7 linked regions of the Macaca fascicularis genome follow. The protein of the gene in region 6 interacts with the protein of the main gene of each other region in a pairwise test. Links are inferred from orthologs where the notes say so. Each region holds a gene or a part of one and is shown on either strand. Other genes may lie near its edges. The genes, in order: ENKD1, SH2D4A, C1H1orf216, HDAC4, CHIC2, CDR2 and TRIM23.

Evidence for each region.
Region 1: the proteins of CDR2 (region 6) and ENKD1 interact in binary tests that used the Homo sapiens proteins (3 or more experiments, as listed by UniProt). The two-hybrid records come from large-scale screens. The link is inferred for Macaca fascicularis from reciprocal best matches to the Homo sapiens genes CDR2 and ENKD1.
Region 2: the proteins of CDR2 (region 6) and SH2D4A interact in binary tests that used the Homo sapiens proteins (3 or more experiments, as listed by UniProt). The two-hybrid records come from large-scale screens. The link is inferred for Macaca fascicularis from reciprocal best matches to the Homo sapiens genes CDR2 and SH2D4A.
Region 3: the proteins of CDR2 (region 6) and C1H1orf216 interact in binary tests that used the Homo sapiens proteins (3 or more experiments, as listed by UniProt). The two-hybrid records come from large-scale screens. The link is inferred for Macaca fascicularis from reciprocal best matches to the Homo sapiens genes CDR2 and C1orf216.
Region 4: the proteins of CDR2 (region 6) and HDAC4 interact in binary tests that used the Homo sapiens proteins (3 or more experiments, as listed by UniProt). The two-hybrid records come from large-scale screens. The link is inferred for Macaca fascicularis from reciprocal best matches to the Homo sapiens genes CDR2 and HDAC4.
Region 5: the proteins of CDR2 (region 6) and CHIC2 interact in binary tests that used the Homo sapiens proteins (3 or more experiments, as listed by UniProt). The link is inferred for Macaca fascicularis from reciprocal best matches to the Homo sapiens genes CDR2 and CHIC2.
Region 7: the proteins of CDR2 (region 6) and TRIM23 interact in binary tests that used the Homo sapiens proteins (3 or more experiments, as listed by UniProt). The two-hybrid records come from large-scale screens. The link is inferred for Macaca fascicularis from reciprocal best matches to the Homo sapiens genes CDR2 and TRIM23.

What each region holds. Positions count from the first base shown.
Region 1 is NC_088394.1:63,699,643-63,704,192, reverse strand, and holds the start of ENKD1 (enkurin domain-containing protein 1), read left to right. Parts: upstream 1-1,474; 5' UTR 1,475-1,782; coding exon 1,783-1,867; intron 1,868-1,957; coding exon 1,958-2,152; intron 2,153-3,328; coding exon 3,329-3,501; intron 3,502-4,550. Other genes in the region: C20H16orf86 (uncharacterized protein C16orf86 homolog), read right to left, coding at 1-50, 146-722. UniProt on the Homo sapiens protein: Microtubule-binding protein which regulates microtubule organization and stability. Promotes the stability of astral microtubules and facilitates the proper orientation of the mitotic spindle.
Region 2 is NC_088382.1:22,425,924-22,429,940, forward strand, and holds part of SH2D4A (SH2 domain-containing protein 4A), read left to right. Parts: intron 1-3,183; coding exon 3,184-3,295; intron 3,296-4,017. UniProt on the Homo sapiens protein: Inhibits estrogen-induced cell proliferation by competing with PLCG for binding to ESR1, blocking the effect of estrogen on PLCG and repressing estrogen-induced proliferation. May play a role in T-cell development and function.
Region 3 is NC_088375.1:199,233,523-199,238,001, reverse strand, and holds the start of C1H1orf216 (UPF0500 protein C1orf216 homolog), read right to left. Parts: upstream 2,952-4,479; 5' UTR 2,774-2,951; intron 790-2,773; 5' UTR 615-789; intron 441-614; 5' UTR 436-440; coding exon 1-435.
Region 4 is NC_088386.1:135,022,128-135,026,144, reverse strand, and holds part of HDAC4 (histone deacetylase 4), read left to right. Parts: intron 1-806; coding exon 807-1,064; intron 1,065-4,017. UniProt on the Homo sapiens protein: Responsible for the deacetylation of lysine residues on the N-terminal part of the core histones (H2A, H2B, H3 and H4).
Region 5 is NC_088379.1:79,880,864-79,884,880, forward strand, and holds part of CHIC2 (cysteine-rich hydrophobic domain-containing protein 2), read left to right. Parts: intron 1-560; coding exon 561-617; intron 618-783; coding exon 784-843; intron 844-3,581; exon of another isoform or gene 3,582-4,017.
Region 6 is NC_088394.1:21,335,382-21,339,398, reverse strand, and holds part of CDR2 (cerebellar degeneration-related protein 2), read left to right. Parts: intron 1-366; coding exon 367-515; intron 516-772; coding exon 773-937; intron 938-2,365; coding exon 2,366-3,224; 3' UTR 3,225-4,017.
Region 7 is NC_088380.1:71,318,798-71,323,395, forward strand, and holds the start of TRIM23 (E3 ubiquitin-protein ligase TRIM23), read right to left. Parts: upstream 3,244-4,598; 5' UTR 3,198-3,243; coding exon 3,117-3,197; intron 1-3,116. Other genes in the region: TRAPPC13 (trafficking protein particle complex subunit 13), read left to right, coding at 3,974-4,019.

The sequences.
Region 1 (4,550 bases), about 42 Mb from region 6:
GTTGCAATAGTTGATGTACTGGTACAGGGGCCGCAGGCGCTGGGCCTTTCCTGCAAAGACCCAGGGCAGGGCAGAGGCTAGAGCGCCAGGTTGTGCCATGTCAGGCCCCACAGGGAGAAGGAACAGCCCAGGGACTGCCACTCACGCTCCAGCCCCAATGTCTCTAAGGGTGCAGACACCGTGCTGGCCACAGCGTGGAGCACGGGAGCCCCCAGGCTCTTGCGCTTCTTGGCTTTTTTGTGCTGTTTGGCAGATGGTGAGGGCTCACTCTGGCTGCCCTCTGGCTCCTCCTCCTGCAGCGGCAGCCTGGGTGGCAGCTCAGCTTCAGCCTTGGGATGGGCACGAAGGCCCGGGAGGCTGAGGGACCTGAGCCAGGGACAAGAGACCTGACGCAGGGAATACCCCAGCCTGCCCACCGCCCCAGGACTCGACGCCTGCCCCTTTCCTGGTCGATGAGGCCCCAGGCCCAAGAGGCTTAGAGGCCAGTGAGCCCAGTGCCCTACAAACCCTGAAGCTCCCACTCTCCTGCTGCTCCCTACATGGGGGCTCTGGAAGAACGGGAGAGGAGAGTGATGGTAGTGACAGGGGACAAGAATCCTTCCTGCAGGAGTGCAGGAATCAGGAATGCTACTGGGGTGTGTGCCCCAACCCCGGGCCTGCAGCTCCTTCCCCTCCTCCTCCCCCAGAGCCCCCTCACTTGACAGGCTTTCTCTTTGGACCATGACGGGGCCTCACAATGGAGACCACGGGCCTGGGGCCTCTCTCCTCTAGCGCCCCGGCTTCCGGCTTGGGCCTCTCCTCCCCCAGCTTGGGTCCTTCCTCCTGGAGCTCCAGCTCCGAAGCTGCGCCTGCTGGGCGCTGGTCTTCACCCTGGGTTCCGCGGGCCTCATGGGCTGGCACCAGGAAATGTTCTTCCGCCACTGGACACTAGAGGTGACACACAGGCCATCGGTCACCATGGTCGGGCAAAGGACATAGGGATCCGTCACTGAACACCTAACATTAGACACCGAAACGGGAATAAGGACACCAGCCTGTGCCCCTCCCCGCCTGGAGGGCCCAGCCTGGCAGTTAGCGGGTCGGGGCGCTCAGAGTTCCGCCTCTCAGAGTGCTGCGGCCCCCTGTTTGAAGGTTAAACAGCCTGACGGTCACCTCGGAGGTCTCAGCGCTGCCGGGGTCCTCCGCGAGCTGTCCCTGCCCCACGACCGTAGCCTCCTGGACCCCCGGCCGCCTCTCCGCCCCTGCCGAGGCCATGGCTGCGCAGGCTCAGTGCATCCTCCACAGCTGCTTGGGGAGGGCCCCGAGCGGCTGGATGGTGGCCCCGCGCTGACCCTGGAGACGGGCCAGCAAGCGAGGGCAGAGCTGGGAAGCGAAACCCGCGACCGCGGAGCCCACACTCAGCGGAAACTACAAGCCCCAGGACGCTTTGCGCCAGGGTCAGTGGGCCCTGACCCCGGGGACGGAAGCCACGGTTGCCCGGCAACAACAACTCCCGTCGGGTGGCAGCGGCTGGCGGCAAAACCTCTCGAGTGAGCCCCTGCCCAAGTGCCGCGGGGGAGAGGCCGCGAGCGGGACCGAGAAGTGGGCTGGGGGGAGAGGTCGCGGAGGCGGCGAGCGAGGCCGGGGCCCAGGCAGGGACCGGCAGGGGCCCGGGAGTGACGGGCACGCCAGGGTCAGGGTCCCAGGCGAGGGAGGAGGCCCGGGGTTGGGGAAGGGGGCCCGGGGAGGGAGGTGCACAGCCCTGCAGGCCTCGGGGCACCGTTGCTGGGCGGTGCCGGCGGCATGTGCGAGGGCCCGTCCCGCATCTCGGGGCCCATCCCCCCAGACCCGACGCTCTGCCCTGACTACTACCGGCGGCCGGCCTCGGGTGAGTCCGCGGGCTTGGCGGTGGTGCTAGGCTCAGGGGTCGGCCCCGACTCCACCTGAGTCCTGGACTCCGCCCGGCTCCGCCCCACAGCTCAAGGGCGCCTCGAGGGAAACGCGCTGAAGCTGGACTTGCTGACCTCGGACCGGGCCCTGGACGCCACCGCTCCCTGTGGCCCCCGCATCGGTCCCGGTGCCCGAGAGATCCTGGAGCGCGGCCGGCGCGGCGTCGGGGACGTGCTGTTGCAACTCGAGGGGATCTCCCTAGGTCCTGGGGCCTCTCTTAAGAGTAAGTCCCAGGAATGGAAGAAGGGGCAGAGAGGCAATGCGGGGTGGAAAGAGATCAAAAGCAGCTGCTCTTTCCGCCCTGACCTGGGCCCAGGCTTTGCATCTCTTGAGTCTCAGTTTCCCCAACTATAAAAGGGGGAGAAATGTGCTACCTTCTCGAAGGAAGTGAACTGAATAAGGTAGTTCCCACGAAGCCCTAGCTCTGCTTCGTGCATTTGTTTGTTTGTTTGTTTGTTTGTTTGTTTATTTATTTTTATTTTTTGAGACGGAGTCTCGCTCTGTCGCCCAGGCTGGAGTGCAGTGGCCGGATCTCAGCTCACTGCAAGCTCCGCCTCCCGGGTTCACGCCATTCTCCTGCCTCAGCCTCCCGAGTAGCTGGGACTACAGGCGCCCGCCACCATGCCCAGCTAAGTTTTTGTATTTTTAGTAGAGACGGGGTTTCACCGTGTTAGCTAGGATGGTCTCGATCTCCTGACCTCGTGATCCGCCCGTTTCGGCCTCCCAAAGTGCTGGGATTAGAGGCTTGAGCCACTGCGCCCAGCCTGCTCGTGCATTTATTACCCGTCAAATTTGTTTGTTGAGTGCCCACTGTGTGCCAGGCCATATAGGTGCTAGAACACAGGGTTGAAGATAAGCATGAGCCATCATTGAGTCAAGGTGGGAGACAAAGAACAGGAGATGAATGTCATATATGAGATGATCTATGGTATACTTCACTATAATAATGGAGAAAATCACCCGGACGCAGTGGCTCACTCCTGGAATCCCAGCACTTTGGGAGGTCCAGGCAGGCGGATCACTTGAGCCCAGGAGATGGAAACCAGCCTGGCCAACATGGTGAAACCCCATCTCTACAAAAAATACAAAAATTAGCCTGGCGTGGTGGCGTGTGTCTGTAATCCCAGCTACTCAGCAGGCTGAAGTGGGAGGATCCCTTGAGCGGGGGAGGTCAAGGCTGCAGTGAGCTGTGATCGTGCCGCTGTACTCCAGCCTGGGTGACAGAGCGAGACACTGTCTCAAATAGTAATAATAATAATGGAGACAGTCATCCTGAAATACTACATGAGGAAGGGAACTCTTTCTGTAGGAGGCAGGGGGCAGGCCTGTGTGTGAACTAGTGGAAGTTGGATTGTGTGGGCCCTATGTAGGGCAGAGACTGGTGGCATCTTTTCTCCAGGGAAGGACCCTAAAGACCATGAGAAGGAGAACCTGAGGCGGATCAGGGAGATTCAGAAGCGCTTCAGAGAACAGGAGCGCAGCCGAGAGCATGGACAGCCCAGGCCCCTGAAAGCTCTGTGGCGCTCACCCAAGTACGATAAGGTGGAGTCCCAGGTCAAGGCCCAGCTCCAGGTACCTGCTCCAGGGAGCCAGAAGTATTATCCTTTTTGTTGGCCAACAGGCAGCTATACCCTGATCCGAGTTCTGGGGAGGGAGGGAACTAAGAGACCCTGGCTCTGCTGCAGGGCGAGGCTGGGGGGCTTCTCAGAAGTGGTGATGGCGGGGCTGATCCTCAGGGGCAAGCAGCAGTTAGTCAAGGGGACAGCAGAGGAGAACATTCCCAAAAGATGGAAACTCACAGACCACAGGGCACGCAGCAGTGGAGATGCCAGGTGTACAGTTCACTGTGAGGAAAGAAAGGCGTGAAGTTAGGCCAAGAAGTCAGCTGGGCCCACATCAGGGGCCACAAAAGCCACTTTTCAGTCCTTATTTCTGAGGACAGTGGGAAGGGCAGGGGTATGGTGGGGGGCTCTGTCTCGGGTAGAGAGTAGCACCATCTTTCCATCCAGGGACTCAGCAGGAGGAGCAGGAGTGAGAGGAAAGGCAAGGTCACACAAATGTGTCTGGGCTGAAGCATCTGTGGGGCTCCCAGGGGGTGGGAGTGTGTCCAGGAAGCAGATGGAAATTCAGGCCTGGATCTCAGGAGTGAGACCCAGGAGTTATTGACGATCAGGTTGAGGACAACGAGACCAAGGAAGTGACCGCCTGGATTTGAGGACTTGGAGGCCAGCCGTCAGGAACGTTGCGGGGCTAGAGCCAGGAAGCTTGGCTAGGAAGGATGAAAGAGAGTGGTAGGTGGGCCAGTACTGAGGTGGAAGGAGAGATGGTTTGTTGTTTTCTTTTTTTTTTTTTTTTTTTTTTGAGACTGAGTCTGACTCTGTCGCCCAGGCTGGAGTGCAGTGGCCGGATCTCAGCTCACTGCAAGCTCTGCCTCCCGGGTTTTTTTTTTTTTACGCCATTCTCCTGCCTCAGCCTCCCGAGTAGCTGGGACCACAGGCGCCCGCCACTTCGCCCGGCTAGTTTTTTGTATTTTTTAGTAGAGATGGGGTTTCACCGTGTTAGCCAGGATGGTCTCGATCTCCTGACCTCGTGATCTGCCCGTCTCGGCCTCCCAAAGTGCT
Region 2 (4,017 bases), on a different chromosome or scaffold from region 6:
TTTTCCTGTGGACCATGTCATGAATTCCATGATTCCTCTGCAGGGACATGCATGAACTTGCTTTTTTGAGACTTTAAGAAATCAGGACGAAGTTGTGGAACTGTAGTCCTTGTATGCATACTGCTGATATAATATGTACTTCTTTCTAAAATAGCAGCAATAGGCGATCTAAAGGACATTTTCATTAATTCTGCTTAGATCTCACTATGTCATTTTAAATGGGGACAGCTGAGGAAGACAAAGGATCGTATATTGATCCAAGCAACATTTATGGAGTATCTACTATACACTAAGCACTATTATGGGAGTTGGAGACACATTTTATGAAAAAATTAGATAAAATTCCTGCCCTCAGGGAGCTTATATTCTTCATGGGAGAGAGAGATGATAAACATATCTGTGAGGTCAGGTGATCATAAGCGCTGCAGAGGAAAATAAAGCAGTACCAGGGAACTGAGGAATCCTGGGAGGATGGAATTAGGATGGGACAGGTAGTCAGAGAAGGCCACTCTGGGAAGGCAGTATTGGAGCAGAGACCTGAAGGAAAGAGGGAAGGAGCAATGTGGATGTCTAAGCCATGTGGACGTCTCTTCCAGACAGAGGGAACAGCAAGTCGAAGACACAGAGGCAGGAACTCACTTGGCATGGTCAGGAAAGGGCTGATCATTTGAGAGAATGAATGAGCCACCTTGCTTCTCTGTAGAACAACGGTGATAAAACAGAGCCATCCTGCTTTGGAGGCGTTGTGAGGCTCTGATGAAGGAATTGGTAGCGAGTCACTCTAAGTGCTTCCATCAACAGGCTGGATAAGAGGCTTTCTGTATGGGCCCGGCGTGGCCTCATTTTCTGGTCCTGTTAGCTGAGCACATTTTCATAGCTCACATCACACATCTGGGTCTCCACACCTTCCACCCTGGGTATCTGGATTAGCATCCAGCCTTGGCCCCTCTACCTCTCCACTCCAAGCCATCACCTGGATTTCCCCATGCCTGGCTCAGAGTCCTGAGTCCTGGACCAGCATGCTTCCAGCAAAACACTGCTGAAAAGGAAATGATGGTCTTCTGAATAGAGAAAGTAAAGCATTACAGATTTTGCTAAAAGTCAAATTATTTGAGGGACTCAGGACAAGTTCCTTACGTTTTCTGGCTTTCTTGAATAAATACGGTGGTCAGGGCCGTATATAGATGAGTTAACAGCAGATCTCATCTGCTATTACTCTGTGAAACTCATGAATTTTTCTTCTTTTCCACTGTGCCTGTACATAATTACATGCAGATTAAAGGAGTAGATTTATTAAATACAGCACTGTTAGACATTTGAGTAACATCAACCAAGTACTACATCTGTTACTAATATTTTTTCTTAGTGGAATCATGTTCCAAACTTCTTGCTGATCCTCAGCAACAATATCTGTGATGATCATAGCTTGATGTTTTCACTATATGTTTCCTAATCATTTAAAAATAAACACGTATGCATGTGGAAGGATGAACAAAGCTCCACTTTTAAGCTTCTTCTGTTTAAGCTTAGAAATTGCTAGCAGCACATTTATGTATCTTGGGCTTGCAGACAGCTTCAATCAAAGGATGGCAAATCTTAACAGTCCTTTCAAACATCAAAGCTGTCCTTTGGATTTTAAAATGCTGGCAAATGAAAGGAGCTAGCTCTAGGCAGGAAAACAACGTAAGGAAAAAAATAAAAACAGTAAATGCACAGAGGTTTAGTTACATCTGCAGTGAAGCACAATTTATGAATGATGATTACTTAAACTGCGATTTATGACTGCCCACAGCGATCAGAAACATGTTTCACAACATTAACGTTTATATTTTACGTTGTGGTGACATTAGAGCAAGGAAGTCTTTATATTTCTATGGGAAAGCACAAAAGAAAAAAACCTGTCACTCGTGATAGAGAGGTGGGCACAGGCAGCCGTTCCTGGCCGTTTCAGTTTGTTTTATTACTTAGCTAACCAAGGCTTTTATTAGTTCTCCAAGTTGTAAATTCAGTCTTCTTGTGAGCACTCAGAAGCTTGTGTCCAAATAAACAGAGTACTTTTCAGGTCTAAGTGATTTGGTTTGTTCATTTCTCTTTCGTTTAAAATGATTTTCCTTGAATGCTCTTAATGCCGGAAAACAGTACACTTAAAAATGGTTAAGGTGCTATACTTTTGTTATATGGAATTTTACTGCAATTTTTTAAAAAACCTAATTCGCCTTTTAAAGGAATATTCACATTTTAAAAATATTTTTCCCTTTCTCAAAAGATGCTTTTGAAAAATATTTTTCTGGTTTTTTTTTTTTTTTGAAACAAAAAAATACATGTTCTGGCAGGGTGTGGTGGCTCATGCCTGTAATCCCAGCACTTTGGGAGGCTGAAGTGGTGGATCACTTGAGGTGAGAAGTTTGCGACCAGCCTGGCCAACGTGGTGAAACTCCACCTCTTCAAAACATACAAAAATTACCCAAGTGTGGTGGCACGTGCCTGTAATCCCAGCTACTCGGGAGGCTGAGGCAGGAGAATCACTTGAACCTGGGAGGGGGAGGTTACAGTGAGCCGAGATTGTACCACTATACTGGGCGATGGAGTGAGACTCCGTCTTTAAAAAATAATAATATATATTTCTTTTAAACCACGTAAAATCATGTAGTAAGTACCACATTCTGGGACACATGATTCGAGGGGAGAGATTCAGCTGAGCTGAGATTGCTCTGGAAATGTGCATTTCTTCCATGGGGACTGTCAGCTACTATAAAGTAGGTTGACGCTGGCTCTATGTAATAGTGTGTTTACATGCTTCTTCAGGGAGTCAATTTGAAACAGCTAAGTACTGTGAGGAAAAGGAATATTTTTTCTTATTATATGTTATACACTGTGCCAGGGACTTCTTAAGTTATCTAATCCTCAGTATAACCCTGAGAAATATTTTCTTCTCATCTTTCTTATGGGGAAACAGCCCAAGAGAGGTTCAGTTGTTGCTCCTGGAGTTACACACTAGCTAGCAATGGTCAATCCAGCTTCAGGTCTTACTGACTCCAAAGTCCACACTTGATCCTCCCTAGTGGGCCAGAGAGTTAGTTAGAAATCAGCTGTGCCGGGTACCCCCGTCCTTCAGGAAACTGCTGGATTTGCTCACCAAGGTTCGTTTTCGTTGGTTTGGTTTTTGTTTTTGTTTTTAAACAGAAGAAAGAATCCATGAAGAAAAAACAAGAAGAAGAAATAAATCAAATAGACGAAGAGAGAACGAAGCAGATTTGTAAGAACTGGAAAGAAGACTCGGAATGGCAGGCATCTCGTGAGTACCCAGAGGTCTCCGTAGCACCTTCCAGGCTCTCAGCTGATTCTCTCACTTAATAATGTGATCAATCTAGAAAGCACTTAATGTGGGTTGTTGAGAGAGATCTTCACAGTAAGTGACCACTCAAATGTTATTACTAACTTATTACTCAAATGCTTACAAGTTACTTTTGAACAGTGGACTGGTTCTCCATTTCTGTATCACCAAAATTATGATGTAATTTATCAAATAGCGTGATATATAGCTATGGAAAATAGGTTTTGGAAGAGTGTTTAATGATCTTAGACTATGTTTACATGTCATTAGCTTGGGGAAGAAAAAACACCATGAAATAGAGTGAAAAGCTTCGCTATTTAGAAATGTCTAAATATCTGAAGGAAAAGAACTGGAAGGTTATAATAACATGTAAACATTAGTTTTCTTGGAGAGGTGAGATTCAAGATTATTTATTTGAATGCTTTTCTGATAATTTAATACTGTGTTTTGGATTTTTTTCCCCTAAGTTTTTGATAGTGAATACATTTTAACTTTGTAATCAGAAGCACACAGGATTACCAGGCCAGATGTGTTAGCATCCAGCTTATGCCTGTGACCCAGCCCTGACTCCTATTTGAGTTAGCAGAGCTGGAGAGAAGGCTCATAGGGGAAGAATAAGTCCATACAACTGAAGGCAGAGGAGAGGGTGCTCCAGAGTGCTAGAAGAATTAGGTTTGAGAAAG
Region 3 (4,479 bases), on a different chromosome or scaffold from region 6:
GGGCAGAAGGGGATCGGGAGGGCCAAGGCCTCGCGGGGTCCCACAGGCAGGCTCAGGACTGCTGCTAGGGCTGTTGATACTCAAGGAACTGCTGGCATAGCCATTGTCCTCCAGAGGGGAGCAGACTGTGCCAGGACCACCCATCTTCTCAGGCTCAGCCCCGGGAATCTCTGCCCCCTCTGGGGGGCTGCGCACCCCTTCCTCAGGGGATCCAGGGGCCTGGAAGGCCTGGTTGTCAGAGGGCGACTCAGAGGAGCTCCTCCTCAGGATAGGTTCCACTCTGCCTGGCATCCCATGCCAATTCTCATTAGCATCCTTGGCACTTGCCATGAAGTTGGAGTTGTTGTCTGGTTGGAGCTCGGGCTGACATACTCCAGGAGGTGGGTCCCCCAGGAATTGGCCCCCCTCAGCTAGCCCTGGCTGGATGGCGAACATCTGGTCTGTAAAGGGAAAGCAGGAGACTGAGTCACAGTAGGACAGGGTGGGGTGCCTGAAGTCAGGGCAACTTAGCTGCAGGGACAAGGCTGAAAGCAAGAGCCCGACCACTCCCTGTCAAGCCCTTTCTCTTGACTCTGGTGACACTTCCCCTCACGGTTTTCGTCCTCCCTGTCTACCTGTTCATTCTCAGTCTCCTGCAGAGGGTTTTTCCTCAGTCCTCAGAGCCAGGCTGTCTTCTGATTTTGCACATTTCTCTCCAGAGGACCTCATTCTCTGCTGTAGCTTCAAGGTCCATCATATGCTGATGACTCTCAGATCTGTCTTCAGCCCAGATCTAACTGCTATCCAACCCTGCAACCAATCATAGGCTCCTCAAATTCTACATAACCAGTCTGGGTGCGGTGGCTCATGCCTGTAATCACAGCACTTTGGGAGGCCGAGGCAGGCAGATCACCTGAGGTCAGAAGTTCGAGACTAGACTGGCCAACATGGTGAAACCCCATCTCTACTAAAAATACAAAAATTAGCCAGGCGTGGTGACAGGCACCTGTAATCCCAGCTATTTGGGAAGCGCTTGAACCCAGGAGGCAGAGGTTGTAGTGAACTGAGATTGTGCCACCACACTCCAGCCTGGGTGACAGAGTGAGACTTCATCCCTCTCCACCCCCCGCCCCCACCACCAAAATTCTATATAACCAAACAAGCTCTCCTTCAGTATCCTCAGCAAGATGGCTCCACCCTCCATCCAGAAGGCTAGGAGCATCCTGGGCTCCTCACTCTCCTTCCTTCTCCCATCTCATTGATAACCACATTCTGACCATTCTTCCTCTTCCAGGCCATTTCTGACCTGGATTATTGCCTCGGCCTTTTCACTGGTCTCTCTGCCCCCAGTTACAAATGTAAATTTCACTTGTCACCACTCAGAATGCCCTCCCTGAACTCCTGCTAAACCTCTATGTGGCCTACAAGGCCCTGTTTGATCTAGCCTCTGCTCACCCTTCCACACCTGCCTTTTGCCACTCTGTCCCTCCCATCATAGCAAACTGCCCAGAGATCTCAAAACACACCATTGTCCTTCTTACAGTATTCCTTTGGCCTATAATATCCTTCCTCTCCCCTCCCCTCAAAGCTCCTCCCTTCTCCACCCAGCAAATTCCTTTTTGTACTTCAAAATCAGCTGTAATATCCCCATATCTCCATGTACCCATGTCTCTGAAGCTGTCTTGATACTGCCGCAATCAATATTACATAAACAAGCACGGTTAGTTATGCCTTCCTCTGGGTCTCCACTGCCCTGGGTACACACTGTCTTATCCAACTTTGTGTCTGTCCCTGGCATACATGGTCGACGATCAGTGAATGTCTATTTAACTGGCAGTTTTGGTTTGTGGCAATGATCTTGTAATAGCAGTTTGTAATCTAGCTTGGACCTCCCCTATATATCCTCCATCATATTCCCCAGAGTCAGCCAGCATAGAGCCCGGAACCAGGCTGTCTGTGCATACTGGTACTTGCTAAGCGAGTGAATGGGAGAAGAGACTGCAGTGAATTTCCATGCTCAGGAAGCTACTCCCGACTCCCCCGGGCTGGAAGAGCTGGGTTCAGTTCCCTCTCCTACCCCAGCCAGGGAGCCCAGCCTTCCCCAGTGACAAGCTTTTCTTCTGAGCCTGCCCACTTCCCTCCCAATGCCTCTGGAACACGGCCACTATCTTGTGTCCCTGTCCCTAGCTTGCTCCATCCTGAGGCCCTGGAGGGCGGGCATACCACACCACTCTTCTCTCCTCCATAACCTGCTTCTAACCAAAATTAGGATTTGAATTGACAAAGGAATTCTACTGACCAAACAGCACTGGGATTAGAACAATTTAAGAGCATGAAGAGGAAGGATATTGTAAGTGGAGCCGGCACTGGGAGGCGCACCATAGGTGGCATGGACCCTCCCCACCCCCAGCAACGGGCAGAAGTCCTGGGGAGAAGGGTGTAGGAACAGTTCCTTTGTAATCGCCCTCTAAGCAAGGCTTGTGGGAAGGTGCCTACAGATCTCCCCTCGCCCCAATTTTTAATTTTTCCTATACTTGGATGGGGCCATGAAGGAAGCTGGGATGGGGTAGGGGTGGCGCTAGGGATCACAGGGTTCTCAGAAATAGTAAAATAGGAACCCCGACACCCCAGGACTAGGTCTCCGCCCAAATAGGAGGCAGCCTCCTTTCCTGGCCTTGCGGGAGTGGGAGACCACCCCAGGAGGCAGAGACCAATCCTTCCCTAGTCTCCTCGGAGGCCGCTGTGACTCCCCGCTTCCCGCGGCTGGGCCCCAAGCCCCCCGCCTCCGACTCACGGCCTAGAGGCGCCCGATCCGGCGCGTCTGGCTATGGCTCCGCCCGGCCCTGGTGGTGTCTAGTCCCTGGGCTGGGGGTTCCTCGGCCTGGGCGTCTCCGCGGTCCAAGGGTGGGTGCGGGGCTCCCGGGCAGCGCGCCCAGCCCCAGGTCCGGACTGCGGAGTCAGGCGGCGTCTGCGCGGCGGGGCGGAGCGGCCCGGCCCACGTGGGCCGGTTGGGTTTTCCGCGGAGCCGCGCGCTAGGCTCTGCGCCGGAACCGCCTCGCCCCCGCGCGGGGCCGCGTTGAACCAGGCCTTTCAGGTCCGGTGCTCTCTCCTATTGGCGTTCGCTGGGCCCTTCCCATCAGTTCACCTCACTGCAGACACCGTGCCATTTTCAAGTGAAATCTGATTAGTCACCACCTTCCGGCTTTAAACTCCTCTATGACTTCCCCACAGCCGGGACAACCCCTAAGGCAGCAGCCGCGGGGCTCTGCGCGTCCGGCCCTCCGTCTGCCTCTCCGGCTTTGTCCTCTACCCTCCCTCTCCGCAGCTACCCTCCCGCACGCCCCTTTCTGCCACGCGGCTTTGGCACGCACGGTTCCCTCGGTCTAGCAGTCTCTTCCCCCTCTCGATTTACTCCTATTTCAGCTCTCTCCTCGGAGAAATCTCTGACTCCCTAGATCGCATTCGTTCCCCCTTGTATGTCAGGGCACGTTCCTTTTCTTCATAGCATTTATCACAATTTGGAATTATATATTTCTTTTTGTGCTACTTGACTAAAGTCACTGAGACCGGGCGCGGTGGCTCACGCCTGTAATCCCAGCACTTTGGAAGGCCGAGGCCGGCGGATCACCTGAGGTCAGGAGTTCGAGACCAGCCTGGCCAACATGGTGAAACACCGTCTCTACTAAAATACGAAAATTAGCTGGGCGTGGTGGCGGGCGCCTGTAATCCCAGGTACTCGGGAGGCTGAGGCAGGAGAATCGCTTGAACCTGGGAGGTGGAGGTTGCAGTGAGCCAAGACTGTACCACTACACTCCAGCCTGGGCAACAGAGTGGGACTCTGTCTCAAAAAAAAAAAGAGAGAGAGAAAGAAGAAGATCCAGCCTGGGACAGGTCCCAGGGCTGATGTCCTGTACCTGGGATGGGGGCTCTCCACAGGACACAGAGCCCGTCCATGACACCTGTGCAGTGGGCACTAGTGCTTTTGCCCAGGTGAGGAGGAACAAGGTTATAAAAAGGGTCCTGGCTTCCAAACTCTAGTGAATTCTTCTCAGAGCTCCACTCTACTGAAGCTTGATCCCCCTCTTTTGCACCCTGGGGAAATGTGAAGTTGGGGACCCTGTTTGGAATAAAAGAGAACAGAGTTTAGTAATTGCTGACCCTAATATATAAGGTACCCTCTTCCAGTTTCAACTTGATTGCAAGTCACCATTCTGCAACCTAGATACTAATTGGCAAATTGAATCACACCAAGAAATCCTATATGCAAAAACAGGGAAAATGGAAAATAAATTTTTATGATTATGATGACTATTTTAAGAGGGAAAAGGAAATAAGAAGAAGGCAGAAGTAATTCAAACTTTGCACACTCCTCCAGCTAAGAAAATACAGGTGGAGATGTCAGCCTCATTTCTACATCAGATCCTGTGGCCTAAGTTCTCTCCCTTCCCTTATCCACTTCAGGTTCCCCTGGCCTTCAGCCTGGGGTGACCAAATCCAAAT
Region 4 (4,017 bases), on a different chromosome or scaffold from region 6:
AGAAGGGGAGGCCATGGCATCCCTGGGATTCAGCAGGAGGGGAGCTCATGGCACGTCAGTGGGATCCCACAGGAAGGGAGGTCACAGAGTGTCCATGGTATCCCAGGAGGGAGGCCGTGGCATCCCTGGGATTCAGCAGGAGAGGAGGTCATGGCACGTCAATGGGATCCCATAAGAAGGGAGGTCACGGAGCGTCCATAGTATTCCAGGAGGGAGGCCATGACATCCCTAGGATTCAGCAGGAAGGGAGGTCCTGGAGTGTTCCCAGGATCCGGCAGGAGGGAGGTCATGGCACATCGGTGGGACCCTGCAGGAGGGGAGGCCGTGGCGTGTCAGTGGGCTCAGGCAGTGAGCATTGTGGACGTCGATGTCTTCCGCTGGGTGGGTGGTGGCTGTTTCTCTCAGCAGTTGTGGCTATGAGGTCAGCATTGGCCTCTCCTTCACACTCAGGCTCCCCTCTGCAGACTCGGTTGACACCTGCGGCTTCTTTTCTGTTTCTCAGTGCCTGACGCAGAAGAGGTGCTTAGTAAACCCCAAATGTTAGTCAGCCTCCTTCCCTGGGCCAGGTCACCTTGACCCCGGGCTGGGGTCCTGATGGGCATTATTTTCTCAGCACCGTGGATAGCGCCCAAGTGCCTGTTGTGCGGGAAGATGAAGGCGCCTGCTGGCCTGTGGCAGGGCGATAAGATGCCTTGAGTCCCTGATTGTCTGCCCCAGAGGTGGGTGGTTGGCAGCATCCCTCCTCCTGTCTGATGAGCTCAGAGGCCCCAGCTCTCTGTGCTTCATGTATTTCCTCTGCCTTGCAGATCATCCCGAAACCAAGCGAGCCGGCCCGGCAGCCGGAGAGTCACCCAGAGGAGACGGAGGAGGAGCTCCGTGAGCACCAGGCTCTGCTGGACGAGCCCTACCTGGACCGGCTGCCGGCGCAGAAGGAGGCGCACGCACCAGCTGGCGTGCAGGTGAAGCAGGAGCCCATTGAGAGCGATGACGAAGAGGCAGAGCCCCCTCGGGAGGTGGAGCCGGGCCAGCGCCAGCCCAGTGAGCAGGAGCTGCTCTTCAGACAGGTGACTACAGGCAGGGAGGGCACCAGCAGGCTGGCACGCACAGCCACCCTCGGTCCCCGGGCGGCATCTTCTGTGTGGTGATCACGGGAGCTGCAGGGCATCCTTGTGCTGTCGCTGTCCAGTGTCTCACCCGTCTTGTCCTGGCCAGTGAGGGAGGTTGATGTGGCTTCTGTTTTGTCCCAGCTGTTCCTAGGGATTCGAGATGTTTGCCCACTGCGGGTGGTTACGTAACTGCTTTCCAGCCATGCACAGGCCCCAGAGAATGGGTTTCCTTCCTGTTTGTAGGCTGTAAATGATCACAGCATCCACGTGTTAGTGAGGTACAGCATGCTTTTTAAAGAAGTGAAGGAAATAGAGGTATTAATTGATCAAAAAGACAGGCAGGGTCTGATCAGAAGTCAAGACCTTTTGTGGCCCAGTGGTGCTAATGAGCAGCCCTGCAGATCCAGACAAGACGGGTACGATCGTGGCACCCAGAGCCAGTAAGGCTTCAGGGCACTGACACCCAGTAACCAAATGCACAGGAGCCTGATGAAGAAGGCCAGTGAATGATTGGTTAATTTCCAGTGAAACATAAAACTTCTGAGTCAACAGAAATACCTGAGGCATTTGGGCAGCCAGCTGGAGCCCCGTATCTGCAGCCAGAGTGTCCTCAGAAAGGTGGCTTCCTCCCTATAGGCAGGAAGCGAGCCTGAGGAACCACAGCTGTAGGATTTGATTCTGTCCTCCAGCAGCAGAGCTGCTGCCTCGGCTGCAGGAGCCACTGGATCATTCCCTCCCTTGTCTCTGGACTCCATGCTGGCCGTGCCACTGAGCACCTCCCCAGCTTCCTGACTGCCAGCTGTGTGGCCAGAGCTGCATCTCTACCCCCAGCAGCACCCTGGAAGCCAGGAGCAGGACGCCCTGCAGTAAACTGTTCCCTTTAATTCTCAGCTGCAGGTCTTGGCACCGAATGAATCAGTGTGGGCCCTTGTATCTGGAGCACCTAGACCCAAGCCTGCCGCACGGGGGGTCAGGTCTCAGTGGTCTCCAGAGGCTTCTGGGCCAGGAGCCCTTCTCTACCAAGCTTCCCCCGGCGGCGGGCATTGGGTGCTATTTCTCCTTTTTGTTCAGAGGGCGGCCTCTCTCTAATTTCTGGGCCGTCTTAATTAGCACCCCGGGCACTAAACACTACACAGCCCAGCAGCCTGGCAAAGACAGAGAGAGAAAGCCCCGGGCCTCTCTGGCGCACACACGGTGCTTCGTGGCGAACACTCATCCACAGGTCCCGTCTGACAGGCCCGGGTTTGGGGCCTCTTCCTGTGGTCGGGCCTTGAAAGTCGATGAAGGTCTGAAATTCAGTGTGCTGTTATTATGCGGATAAGAAGTGGGAAACTATTTACATTAATAATTTTTAGGACTAGTTTCTCATAGATCGGCGTTCACTTTGAAAAAAGAGGCTTGTTATATTCCAAGCGTGAGATGATGATTAGAAACAATTTCTGTTCTCTCTGGAGAGTAATAGGCAGAACTCCTTATCAGGGAAACTTGGTAGTACACGGAGCAATTTGCCGAGGTAAACCTAAGGCGGGACACCTTCCAGCCGGTGTCCGGGAGGATTGCTTATTAACCGCTTAACCACGTGGGGCCCACAGCAATCCCAGCTGAATTTGGTTAGCCGCAGACTGGGGGCCTGTGGGTGCTGGCTCCTACTCCAGCTCCTGCTCCAGCTCCTCCGCCTGTCTCGGGGCTCCCCTCTTCTCTGCTCCCTCCTGGCTCTGATTCCTTTTTTTTTTTCTTTTTTTGAGACGTAGTCTCACTCTGTTGCCCAGGCTAGAGTGCAGTGGTGCCATCTTGGCTCACTGCAGCCTCCACCTTCTGGGTTCAAGTGATTCTTCCCCCTCAGCCTCCCGAGTAGCTGGGACTACAGGCACCTGCCATCATGCCTGGCTAATTTTTTTTTTTGGTAAAGACAAGGTTTCACCATTTTGGCCAGGCTGGTCTCGAACTCCTTACTTCAGGTGATCTACCCGCCTCGGCCTCCCAAAGTGCTGGGATTACAGGCGTGAGCCACCTGGCCTGATTCCTAAAGACAAGACAGATCAGAGCCTGGCCAGGCAGCTCTGGCTTCCCCCAGTGCTGGCAGCACAGGGCTGGACTCCGCCTCTCATACAGGAGCTGAGATGTAGGTACCTGGTTTTCCACGTTCACAGGATTTGTTCATCAAAACTAAGACAGGATTGGCGCAGAGCTCCCAGCGAGGAGGCGCCCGGCTTTCTTTGTGCCTCGGCTTGGGTGGCAGGTCGCCGTGCTCTCCCTCAGCTGCTGTCTGGGGAGAGGCTAGGCAGCTGTGGCCTCATCTCTGCCCTGCTTCCTCCACTCCACTCTGCCTCGTATGAGGGTGTGCACCTCAGCCTGTTCCCAGAATCCCTTGGGGTGTCCCAGGCCCCTGACTAAGTGGCCTCCCTACACAGAGCCCAGCCCAGCCCCATCTCATCAGAGAGGCACATCCCCACCAGCAGGCCTGCTCCAGGCTCCAAGGGTCCTGGGTGCCTGGAAGCTGATGGGCTGTTTCTGCTTTTAGCCTGCATGAGGATGTGTGGAATGTGAGACCAGGGAGGGGAGCGGCTGCAAATGAAGCCGAGCTAGCACTTCCAAGTCTGAGAATCAAGGGTGCTTTCTCACCCAAGTTTAGTGTGCAGATTCAGTGCTGTTGGTCAAAACTAAGACCCACAAACCCAACAAGGGGGCGAGGCTTCATGCCCACCCACTGTACGTGTGTGGTGTGGCAGAGTGAGTGCTTTGGTCCCCGTGTGTGGTGTGGCAGAGTGGGTGCTCTGGTCCCCACATCTGCATGGCCTTCGCGTATCTCCCAGTGGAACCAGCGAGGGCCAGGCTGCCGCCCCAGCAAGAGCCTCTCTCCACACCTGCCAGGCCCCACTCCCCTGCACCTGATCCAGGCTGCTCCTGGCTC
Region 5 (4,017 bases), on a different chromosome or scaffold from region 6:
GTTTAAATAAAATTTTGACTCTTCAAAAAAATCTATTGGTAGAATAATCAGTAAGCTGTCTTTTAAATATGGGCATTATTTTAAGCATGGTGTGAAAATTAGTTTGATTTTATAATTCATTGATTTAATATTAACTTCCAATTTTTTGTTTTGGAACTTACTGAAAGGCCATTTGCATTTTGTTAACTAATATTTACTTTTGTTGTAAAGTATGTATTAAGGAGCTTCTGTTACTATTTAAGTATTGGAAACATATTTTTGAAAAAAGTGGGGATTTAATTTTATTTGGCAGATGACATTAGCTTTTAAACCTTGATAGTTTTAAATCAGAGGCTAGTAAAAAAAGATTCATATGATAGAAATAAAGCCATATCTTTTTAAAGAAAGAGAACTCTTTGTGTTCAGGTTACCATTTAGTGCTTAGAAAATGGATAGTGATGCACACCACACTATACTCAGTCACTGTCTTACACCTCTTCCCTTTTCACAGAAAAAGCAGCTGCAAAACAAAGTTTTCTAAAACCAGTCAAGAGTAAACTTTTTTCTCATTTGTCTTCCAGACACGAAGATCGATTGAGAAGTTATTAGAATGGGAAAACAATAGGTTATACCACAAGGTGAGTACCACAGGGAGCAGCTTCGTACTGTTGGGGTCTGAATTGCACAGTATGGAAACAGATGCTTTTGTTGAACTAAAAATATGAAAGGTGGACAAATGGGTTAGTCTGTGTGCTGCAATAAAATAGAGCTCATTTTTCTTCTTTTACTCTCCTACTTGTCTAGCTGTGCTTGCATTGGAGACTGAGCAAAAGGAAATGTGAAACGAATAACATGATGGAATATGTAAGTTAAAGGGCTGTTTTGTGAGTTTCTCTATTAAATGATCATTTATTTTGCTTCTGATCTTATTCTTTCCATGATTATTAATCAGCAAAGGTGTCAGGAGCTTAATCTCCTGAGTGCAAGGATTTTCTACGGTTCACAGATGCATGGTTTCATGTGCAAGACTGATTTATAAAGTTATGAATGACTTGAAAACAAGGCTTCACTGTGTTCTGAAAAATAATAAATTAATTGCCAAGATAAAATAGCCTGAACATGTGTTGATGGAGTGTGAAATTTTAGATGCTGTATAAAGAATAACCACAACTTTGGTTACGCAGCAAGTCAGATATGGCTTTTTTATATAATGCTAATCAAGTTTCCAAGTATGGAAGAAAACCTTTCAGCCAAGCCATTGGAGCTTAAGAAACCTTTAGCCTTTATAGATTTTAACTGTCCGTACCTCAGTGCCCTTTAAAGAATCTGTTTTAAAGTGTTATTAGAATATCGCTTTGTAAAAATTAAAAGTAAGCAGGAAATGAGATGTTGATCATCTTGTGTTTACTTGTTAAAAAATATCTAATTTGGCATATATATACAATGAATTTTGTACTTACTCAGCATGGGATTTAATTTACTGACTCCATGATTTACTTGAGCAGTTTTTCTCCTTTTGAAAATTTCAGAATATTCTAGAAAATTAAGAATTTTAATTTTCTTTTGAGCTTGAGTACTGTACTTTAAATATGGCCAGGTTGTTACTTTAGAAGAAAAAGATCTAAGGAAAAATTAATTGTTGAAAGTAAAACTCAGAGCCTTTGTGAAGTATCTGTTATAACATTTCTGAGGAATTTTGCCTATTCTTTAAAACAATATAGCCATCATAGATGTGTGTGTGTGTATGTGTAAAATATTGATTAAAAGAGTGTTTTGTTGTAAATTATCATAAAATCATTTTTCTCTGTTAGCATTTTCCTGTTCTTTCATTATCACACAGTCAAATCCCATTTCTAGCCTTGAACATAAAAAATATTTTTAAAATGTCTTAGACTAGCTTTATTCAATGAACCAAATAATGTAGATTTTATCTTTATTATGTCAACATGTTAATTTATGATGATGAGAAAGACACCTGATACTTCTTTATAATCGTAACACATTTGAGTAACCCATTTTGAGGTGAGAATACTAGTCTTGTATTTTCATCTTAGATAGTAAGAGGGTTTATGTACATATTTTGGGGAGAAGGATGGATAGGAGATGTAAAGAATTTGGTGAAAAAAAAGTTACTACATTTGTAACACAAACACTAAGCTTAAAACTAAGTTATTAATTTTTTGTGCATTTCTAAATTTACTTTGGAAAGGAAAACATAAAAGTTGTCCCAATGCTATGATTTCCAGATAGAACTGTATGACTATAATTTATTCATAAAGTAATTTAACCTTCCAAAACATTCTGAACTATATGCTTTGTTTGTAAAATAAGTTTCCTTGAATTTTTAGATAATTAAGCACTTCTACTAAAGCCATTATATTATTTTCACTCCATCATAGAAGATATCCAGAAGAGTAGTAAAGATAAAATAAATATTTAAATTGCTAGGAAAAAGCTGGGTGTAGTGGGCATGCCAATAGTCTAGCTGGGGAGGCTGAGGCAGCAGGATCACTTGAGTCCAGGAGTACAAAGACAGTCTGGATAACATAGCAATACCTGCCTCTCTTTAAAAAAAAAAAAAAAAAAAAAAAAAAATATATATATATATATATATATATATGCATGCTGGGGAAAAATGTGTTTTGCTAGATTTTCTTAGAGTATATATATTTTTGATAGTTGAAAGTGAGAATAATGTAGCTTAAAAAATTCATTAAAATGAATTTTAAAAGTTAAACTAGCAAATAAAATTCATTTTATCTAATGAATTTGGGCCTTTTTAACCATTTGTCCCTCTTTCCCTCAACTTTTCTTTAACTTAAAGAAATTTCATTTTGTTAAAAGAAAATAATTATCTTTGATTAAATTTGAACATTGGAAATACTAAAAAAAAATATATATATATATACACACACACCACCTTGGTGCTAACTTTTCTTTGTTCAGATATGGTAGAGACAGATGATTTAGAATAAATGAGACAAGTGGCTTCTGAAGGAAAAATTTGTAGGATGTATTATTTAAAAACTAATAGTTCAAATGTAGGCAAAGATAGCCTTTATTTTATGTTATGTATTAATAGTATATATTGTAAAGTGTGGGTATGCCCACAACTGGGGACTAAAATTATAAAGACTGATTGAGGACATATTTGAAATACAAAAGAATTTGTTTAATGCTGACTCTTAAGTAGTTTAAACATTTAATTGTCAAATTTTAAAGCTGCAAAGAATCTTGTCATCTAGTTCGATGCCTTTGTTTTATAGATAGGGAAATGTAGCCCAAATGAAGAAGCTAGTTGGGAGAAAATATTTTAACAGGGAGCTAGTGAATATTTTGTAGGCAAATCACAGGTCAGGAGAGTGGCAAATGTGACAGCTAAGGCTTAGTGCAGGATACCTAGAGTAAGACAGGAATATTTTTGAGCCAGGTATAGAAGTGTGTCTTCTTTATTGAGGCAGATCAAAACCCAGGAGAACTGAAAAGTGAAAATGAAGATTCCTGGCCCAGACAGCTAATCTGTAGAAGTATTGAAATCTAGAGGTCATATCAAGCAAGACACAGTTTCTGAAAAAGAACGATGAGTCACTAGACTTAGAAACTTTTTTTTTTTTTTTTTAAGGAACTGATTATTTAATGTTTATTGTAATCCTACTATCAATCTGCCTCCTAACTCCAGTCTCAACAGGCTTTAAATCCAAAGGCTTAAATACATTTGCCAACATGTCAAAAAGAACCTTTATTACTTTTTTTGATTGCCACTTATGCTCTCTTGCCAGATGCCTTTGGAGCAGGTGCTTTCTGGGCTGGAGCTTTTTGACCCTTCTGAGCTTTTGGAGCAGGCGCAGCCTTCTGGCCTGTGGCTTTCTGGGCAGGAACCTTCTGGGCTGGAGCCTTTTTACTCGCGGTGGTCATCTTTTTTGCTGGAACTGTAGCAGCAGCAGCAGCAGCAGCAGTACCCTTAGTACCAGGTGCTTTTTTGGGAGAAGCTTTCAGGAGAGCTGCCTTTTGAAGCTTCTTAACTTCATTCTTGATTAT
Region 6 (4,017 bases):
ATCTTTTTTTGTTTGTTTCTTTGTTTGAGATGGAGTTTCACTCTTGTTGCCCAGGCTGGAGTGCAATGGCGCCATCTCAGCTCATTGCAACCTCTGTCTCCCGGGTTCAAGTAATTTTCCTGCTTCAGCCTCCCAAGTAGCTGGGATTACAGGCATGTGTCACCACACCTGCCTAATTTTTGTATTTTTAGTAGAGACGGGATTTCACCATGTTGGTCAGGCTGGTCTCGAATTCCTGACCTCAGGTGAGCCGTATGTCTCGGCCTCCCAAAGTGCTGGGATTACAGGCATGAGCCACCATGGCCAGCCAAGGAACAGCAGGTATCTTATCTGTTTGTGTCACCTGGTCCTGATCTTCTCTTACAGTATCTGACCAAGCAAGTGGAGCTTCTACGGCAGATGAACGAACAACATGCAAAGGTTTATGAACAATTAGATGTCACAGCAAGGGAACTGGAAGAAACAAATCAAAAACTAGTTGCTGACAGCAAGGCCTCACAGCAAAAGATTCTGAGGTAAATTTTCTAGAATCTGACAAGGAAGGCCTAGAGGGAAGTTCTTTAGTATAAACTAGAATAGAACATGGCTGCAGTGGGTTTAGGTCAATATGGGATAAAGTTTAATTTAATTCTTTCTGGAGAATGGAGATTAAATAGATGTCCTTTCCAATTAAGAAAGCCCAATGTGAGTGGCTCGCATCTAATCTCTCCTCACCGCTTTTGCCCTTGATTCAGTATGACAAGCAGCAATGGCTTCTGTCTGTTCCTTACAGCCTGACTGAAACGATTGAATGCCTGCAAACCAACATTGATCACCTGCAGAGCCAAGTGGAGGAGCTGAAGTCATCTGGCCGAGGGAGAAGGAGCCAGGGGAAGTGTGACCAGGAGAAACCGGCACCCAGCTTTGCATGTCTGAAGGAGCTGTATGATCTCCGCCAGTAAGAGCCTACCTGTCTGTGGAGTTACAGCAGGGACTGTCTCATGTCATTGGCACATTCTGAATTCCAGTAGATTGAAAGTACCATTTTAAGAAATGTCACTTAGCTATTAAGCTACCATTGGTTTTGAACAAAATCACTTAAACATAGAAATTACACAGTTCTTATATATTGGTAATTCTTATTTTGAAAGTCTTAGAGCACTTATTTCAGGGCTTTTAATGTGTTAAATCATAGTTTAAGATGAATGACTTCTGATAGACTATAGAAATATTGGTAAAACAAAAATTCAAGCAAACAAGATTTTTTGCTTAAAGAAGTACCTTTATAATTTAGAGTTACAAGTCTGAATCTTTAAGAAGTATTTGTGGAACACTTGTTGTATGGCAAGCTCTATGCCAGACCTGAGGGCTGGTGAGCAGAATAGAGTTCCTATCCCTGTGAGCTTTCAGTCTAACAGAACGGCAGATAAGCAAATAAAAACACAAATAAATAGTCAAGCAAGGTGCCTTGGACTGAGCAGGAGAAATCAGGTGGTTCATTTGGTGGGTCTTTGGCTGCACATCAGATCACCTGTGGAGTTTTTCAAAATGCAGATACCAACACATTCCCTCAGGCCTAAATCAGAATTTCTGGGTGTGGGTAAAAAGCTGCCCAGGCAATTCTGATGAACATTCCTGGTTAAACACCACAGCAACAGTAATTTGCTGTAGTGATTCAATCGTAATTATGTATTATGAATCATTTGGAGAGCCTTTAGAAACCCTCAGGCCGGGTAGCAGACCAACTAGGTTAGAATCTGTGGGTTGGGACCCAGGCACCAGTACTTTTTAAGGTTTCCCTTGTGAGGTCATTGGCATACTGCCAGTCTTTGGGAATAGATGTTCTTTAGTACTTTCAACATTAAAAAAAGATTCATCGCAAAAACTGAGTTTGCTTTCATGTGTTTATTTACCAGCCTCACACAGTTCCATTTTAGCCACTGCTCCAGTGTGGCTAAAAATCAGTCACTGTCGGCCGGGTGCAGTGGCTCACACCTGTAAATCCCAGCACTTTGGGAGGCCGAGGCAGGAGGATCACCTGAGGTTGGGAGACCAACCAGCCTAACCAACATGGAGAAATCCCGTCTCTACTAAAAATACAAAATTAGCCAGGCATGGTGGCGCATGCCTAAAATCCCACCTACTTGGGAGGCTGAGGCAGGAGAATTGCTTAAACCCGGGAGGCTGAGGTTGCAACGAGCTGAGATCGCTCCACTGCACTCCAGCCTGGCGACAGAGTGAGACTCCATCTCAAAAAAAAAAGAAAAAAAAATCAGTCACTGTCACAGCTCCTCAAATTTATTTAGTTGAAAAAAAATCACCAGTCTTCCTCACTTCATTCTCAGTGGACCTGTGTAATACATTCTTTCAATATTTTTTTCCCTAGACACTTCGTGTATGATCATGTGTTCGCTGAAAAGATCACTTCCTTGCAAAGTCAGCCAAGCCCTGATGAAGAGGAAAATGAGCACTTGAAAAAAACGGTGACAATGTTGCAGGCCCAGCTGAGCCTGGAGCGGCAGAAGCGGGTGACTATGGAGGAGGAATATGGGCTGGTTTTAAAGGAGAACAGTGAACTGGAGCAGCAGCTGGGGGCCACAGGTGCCTACCGAGCACGGGCGCTGGAACTAGAGGCTGAGGTGGCAGAGATGCGACAGATGTTGCAGTCAGAGCATCCATTTGTGAATGGGGTTGAGAAGCTGGTGCCAGACTCTCTGTTTGTTCCTTTCAAAGAACCCAGCCAGAGCCTGCTGGAAGAGATGTTCCTGACTGTGCCGGAACCACACAGAAAGCCTCTCAAGCGCAGCAGCAGTGAGACGATCCTCAGCAGCTTGGCAGGGAGTGACATCGTGAAGGGCCATGAGGAGACCTGCATCAGGAGGGCCAAGGCTGTGAAACAGAGGGGCATCTCCCTTCTGCACGAAGTGGACACACAGTACAGTGCCCTGAAGGTGAAGTATGAAGAGCTGCTGAAGAAGTGCCAACAGGAACAGGACTCCCTGTCACACAAGGCTGTACAGACCTCCAGGGCTCCGGCCAAGGACCTGACTGGAGTGAACGCCCAGTCTGAGCCTGTTGCCAGCGGCTGGGAACTGGCCTCTGTCAACCCAGAGCCCGTCAGTTCCCCTACAACACCTCCAGAATACAAAGCGTTGTTTAAGGAGATCTTTAGTTGCATCAAGAAAACTAAGCAGGAAATAGATGAACAGAGAACAAAATACCGATCACTCTCCTCTCATTCTTAATTGAACCTCTAGCTCTACTACTAATTTGCCTATTGCCTATCACCTCTCTCATTCAGACAAGTGTTTGTAGACTTGGAAGCCTGATGTTGCTTGTGACATTTGCCTCATTGCTTTGCTTATTTAGCAAATGCATACAACGAGGAAAGGAGGTGGCTACTGGTATCAGTTCTCTGATCCACTTCCATTTAAGCTCCCCAGGAAATCCCATGACAAACTGGCCTCTGGCTGGCGCACTGATTAGACTTCAATTCCTGAAAAGGACCAGTGGAGGGAAGAGCTATACTACTGGAGAAGTAGGCCTGGAGTTACTACAGTATGGGGGAGAAGGGCCGAGTTGGCACAAAGCTAAGGCAGTTCCTATTGCTTCCTTGCGCAACTTCTCAAAACGATGTAAAGTCAGAGGGCTGTCAAACTCAAGTATCTTTTGCAAACACTGAATACTGTGAATTCATTAAGAAGAATGTTCAAGAGAAAGCAGGGGTCTGATCCAAAAGAAATGTCATTAACAAATACTCCAAATGCTTGAGTTTTGTTGTATCTGAACTAGTTGAACTGTGACTGACAGGTAATCCTAATATATCCAAATCAAACTGAATACCAAATTGAGATGGCAAATTTTTGTTTGATCCAAGTTAGCTTGTTAGCATACGCCCTAGAGGGCCTCCGCCCCTACATTCTAATGTTTTTATTGAAAGCTCTAGCCTTTAGGATACGTGAACATGTAAATCTTTCATCACTTTCTCAAATTCACACTAAAGGGGAAAGATCAAACCTCTTCCCCTCCTACCTGTTT
Region 7 (4,598 bases), on a different chromosome or scaffold from region 6:
GATATCGAGACCATCCTGGCTAACACAGTGAAACCCCATCTCTACTAAAAATACAAAAAATTAGCCGGGCACGGTGGTGGGCGCCTATAGTCCCAGCTACTTGGGAGGCTGAGGCAGGAGAATGGCATGAACCTGGGAGGTGGAGCTTGCAGTGAGCCGAGATTGTGCCACTGCACTCCAGCCTAGGCGACAGAGCAAGACTCCGACTCAAAAAAAAAAAAAATCACAATAGAATTTGATATAAAATAAATGCAACATTTTATAAATGCTGTATTGAAACTCTAATAAATTAAATTTGTTTATAAACTCCAAAGAACCATATTAAAATTTTGTTTAGTTCATTTCAATCCTGTATCTCTGATCCCACCACTGTACAAGATTTAAAAGAATTTCCTTATGCTGTTACCGTATTTTTCAAAAAGCACTAATAAAATTCCATTGATTAGCAAACCAAACACAGGTCCGAAAATAAAGTTACTAGACTATTTTGCATCAACTTGGTAAATAATACAGCAAGAAAATATTTCCTCAGTATCTATGAATAGGAATTGTGGTTAACAGCAAAAAGCCCTAGATAGGAAAAAGCTCTTAATTTTACATTTCACAAAATGCCAAAACAGCTTCAAACTTATTACATGTAAATCAAACTGTAATCAATCAGATTATATATATATATATTTTTTTTTTCTTTCTTTTTTTTGAGAAAGGGTCTCACTCTTTCTCAAAAAAAAAGGGTCAGCCAGGCTGGAATGTAGTGGCCTGAGCATGGTTCACTGCAGCCTCGACCTCCCGAGCTCAAGCAATCCTCCTGCCTCAGACTCCCAAGTAGCTGGTACCACAGGCATGTGCCACCATGCCTGGCTAATTTTTTTAATTATTATTTGTAGAGGTTGGGTCTCACTATGTTGCCAAGGCTGGTCTCAAACTCCAGGGCTCAAGCAATCCTCCCACCTTAGCCTCCCAAAGTGTGAGATTAAAGGTGTGAGCCACTGTGCCCAGTCTCAGACTAAATTTTAAAAGGCCTAAGAAGACTCACTAAGCAAAAGAAACTGTGATACATTTTTACATGTCAGTTATTTCAAAATATCAGATTTTTTATTTTTTATTTTTCAGATGGAGTCTCACTCTGTCACCCAGGCTGGAATGTAGTAGCACAATCTCGGCTCACTGCAACCTCCCCCTCCTGGGTTCAAGTGATTCTCCTGATCAGCCTCCTGAGTAACTGGGATTAACAGGCCCACACCACAATGCCTGGCTACTTTTTGTATTATTAGTAGAGACAGGGTTTGGCCATGCTGGCCAGGCTAGTCTCGAACTCCTGACCTCAAGTGATCAGCCCACTTCGGCCTCCCAAAGTGCTTCCCAGGCACTTTGTGCTTTACAGACGTGTGCCACCGCGCCTAGCCATATCAGATTTTTATGTTACTGGTTTCTCTAATGATAAAAACCATGTAATTATCAACTTGTTCACAAGCACAAGGCCATTTTACACAGTATTAGCATTATATACTTCAATTTTTACCTTCCAATAAATACTTATTGCTTTCATCTATACAAATGACAGTAAGGTTTTTTTCAGTTTATACCCCTATAGCTACTACAAATTATGGCATGAAGATTTTGTCAGAAAGGACTATTTTATTGCACAGTTCAGGAACATTTTACATGTTAAGATGAAAATGAACAAGGTGAGCCTCTGATGTATCAAATTCTGTGCTGTAACAAACTGGAGTTACATCAGGCTTTGGTACACTTTTGAGACTATAAGGCAAACAGCGTAACAACAAAATAGATACTGCAATGATACCCCTTCCAATTATGAAATAAAACTTAAACTTCAAGTTAATTCACAAAGTACTCTGCAAGTATTCTCTACTTAGCAAAAGCACAATTCAATAAATAAAATCTCAATCACACAACATGCCTAATAACGAGGGCTCTTTTGCGTTATCAGATATGCTGTGCACCTGTAGAATAACTTCATTACTACCTAAAGGTCATCTGAATCAACGACCACCAATACTGACTGATACTAAATTGTGGGAAGAAATGTCTCACTTGCTGTCATACAAAACCAACATTAACTGAATAATCGTAGGTGTCTATTTTTCAAGACGTTAAAAGAACTTCATATATTATCCTGTTCGGTAATTCTTAACCCTGGTTACATATTAAAATAACTTATGGGCATTCCTAAAATCTACTGTTGTTGTCAACCTCATCAGAACTGGAGGAGGAGTGCATCAGTAGTGTACTAAAAATCTTCAGTGATCCTAATATGCAGCCAGGAATGAGAATTTTCAATCTCTTAGATTAGAGATGCTCCCGAAGGTTACTCTATAAAACCAATGAGATCAGTTCTCCCCTCCAGATCTCTCCGTGCACAAGTGTGGAAGGGAAAAATGACTGCCACATATTTCAAATGATTTTTTAGCAAATTCATTCTGGAGCATTTATACATGGTAGAATCTCAAACTTCAAGCATAAGGAAATTCATTAACTCTATCGTTAACGCCCAGCTATGACGATGTTGCAGACTTCTGAAAAGTGTTAATAGACTGTACTACTAACAGGAGAGAGGGCAGCTCAGCCAGTAACAGATGTCTCATTACAGACGCAGTACAATAGGGAAAAGCATAGGCTTTAAAGCCGGTCAACCCGGGGCTCTGCCACACACTGTTTACCTAAACCTGGATTTCCTCCCTGTAAAATGGGAATTAACATCTACTTCATAAGTAGATATTAACGAGCTAAAACACCTAACGTAGTACGTAGTTACGATGACGATGGGCCAATTTATAATACTAAGCTAACTAATGCCTGTTGAGTTTAACTAAAAGCAGAGGACCTGGAGAAAAGACCGGTCTAGGTCACTGGACCGCAAGCTCCTTTTCATAAATGTTCCGATTATGACATGTCATGAGCAGAAGACCAGGCAACTTCAGGCCATAGGAGAGAAAGGATGCAGAGGAGAGGACAAGACTTGTAAAGCCAAAAGGGGCCCAGAGGCCGCGCATCCCACCCATCGAAGCCTGGGCCGTGGCGATGCAGCCAGGTCTCCAGGATGAACCGAAGGGAGGCCAATGGTGGAGAACAGAGCACGCAAGGTCCCTCACCTTCACTACAGCTGTCCCCCGGCTGCCCTGCCGGCCACTGTCTACTCCCGCTCCAAGCTTGTTTACAACCAGAGTAGCCATCCTCGTAGGAGTAGCGCCACAGATGCAGCCTTCAGAGTCCTCAACTGAGAGGCGGGGTTAAGCCACCTACCCAGAGGCCTCTGCGCACGCCACCGGCGCACAGGCGCAGTAGGACACAGGGCGCCGCTTAGCCGACTCTTACTCCTCCTCCCTGCAGTCGTGGGGTACTTCGTTGCACAGCCTCGCGCATGGGCACTTTTGTTATTTTTCATTACGTAGTCTGCAACTGCTGGAGGAAAGACAAGGAAAAAAAAAAAAAAGAAGGGATAAAACAGAATTAAAGTTTTGGGGTGAAACTCCAGCTCCTTTAATGATTTTTCCTCTCGAATCGCAAACCAACCAGGGTGTAAACTGAGGGCGGTGAAGGGATACGGGCATCTCCCTGCATGCAACGCGATTTTCGTATAAACTACAAATCCCAGCATGCCACTCTCTCTTTTATTTATTTATTTTTTTTAAACTCCGGCAAAGTTGGCCTTTGGGAGGCGGCGTATTGTAACCGAGGGGTGGTTTCTTTTCCTGAAGTCGCGATGTGCGATAGCAGATGGAAAACAAAGTGTTTTATGCATACGTTTCTAAGATAAAAGAAATGGACTTGGTGAGAAGAAGCCAGTCTGTAAAGAACACAGTAAGAAAATTTAAGGTACCACCACCGGAGAGAAGTTGAAAGTGCGTTTGACTTCTGGTCTTGCCAAACGCGAGGTTTTCCGTTTCCTTCCGGGCCAAGTTGAACCTGTCCAGCCCCCGTAGGCCGTGGGTCAAAAGTGCTGGTCAAAATGGAAGTGAATCCCCCTAAACAGGAGCACCTGCTGGCGCTGAAAGGTAAACTTTTGCGAACCTGAGTACCCGTTTTCTGTTTTCTTCCCTTCCCTATTTATCGAAGCCTTTGCCATGTAGGCCTCAGCCTTCTTAAACACTGTCAGTGCTCGCCCTCCTGCTCTGTCCTTTGGCGCCAGGCGGGAGGAAGCGATTTCGCCTGGATGCTTTTTAGGTTTACGGGCTCCTTTCTAGAATGAAATAGATACCTGGTAAATCACTCTCTGATCTATGCTGCTTCAGTCACGAGATTTTAGCGGCAGAAGCTGACGTCCCGCTCCTACCGTGGAGATCTCTGTGAACTAAGATGAATTACAGCGGGCATGTAAAGTGCTTTTTCCTTCTGTCTCTCGTTTCTTCCTGTGGCACTGACGAAGTTATCAGGCTTCAGTTTCCCCTGTAAAATTAGTATTGCATAACAGTAGTGCAAAGAATTTAGCAATATATAGTAATACAACATATAACTTAGATTTATTAAAAACAAACTGCAGTTTACTTCAAAGCACTGTGTATGTGGGAAATATGTCCGAGATCTAATGTCAACTCTCATTTTTTGTACACAGCCATTTTGAGTAAGTTTGGTGA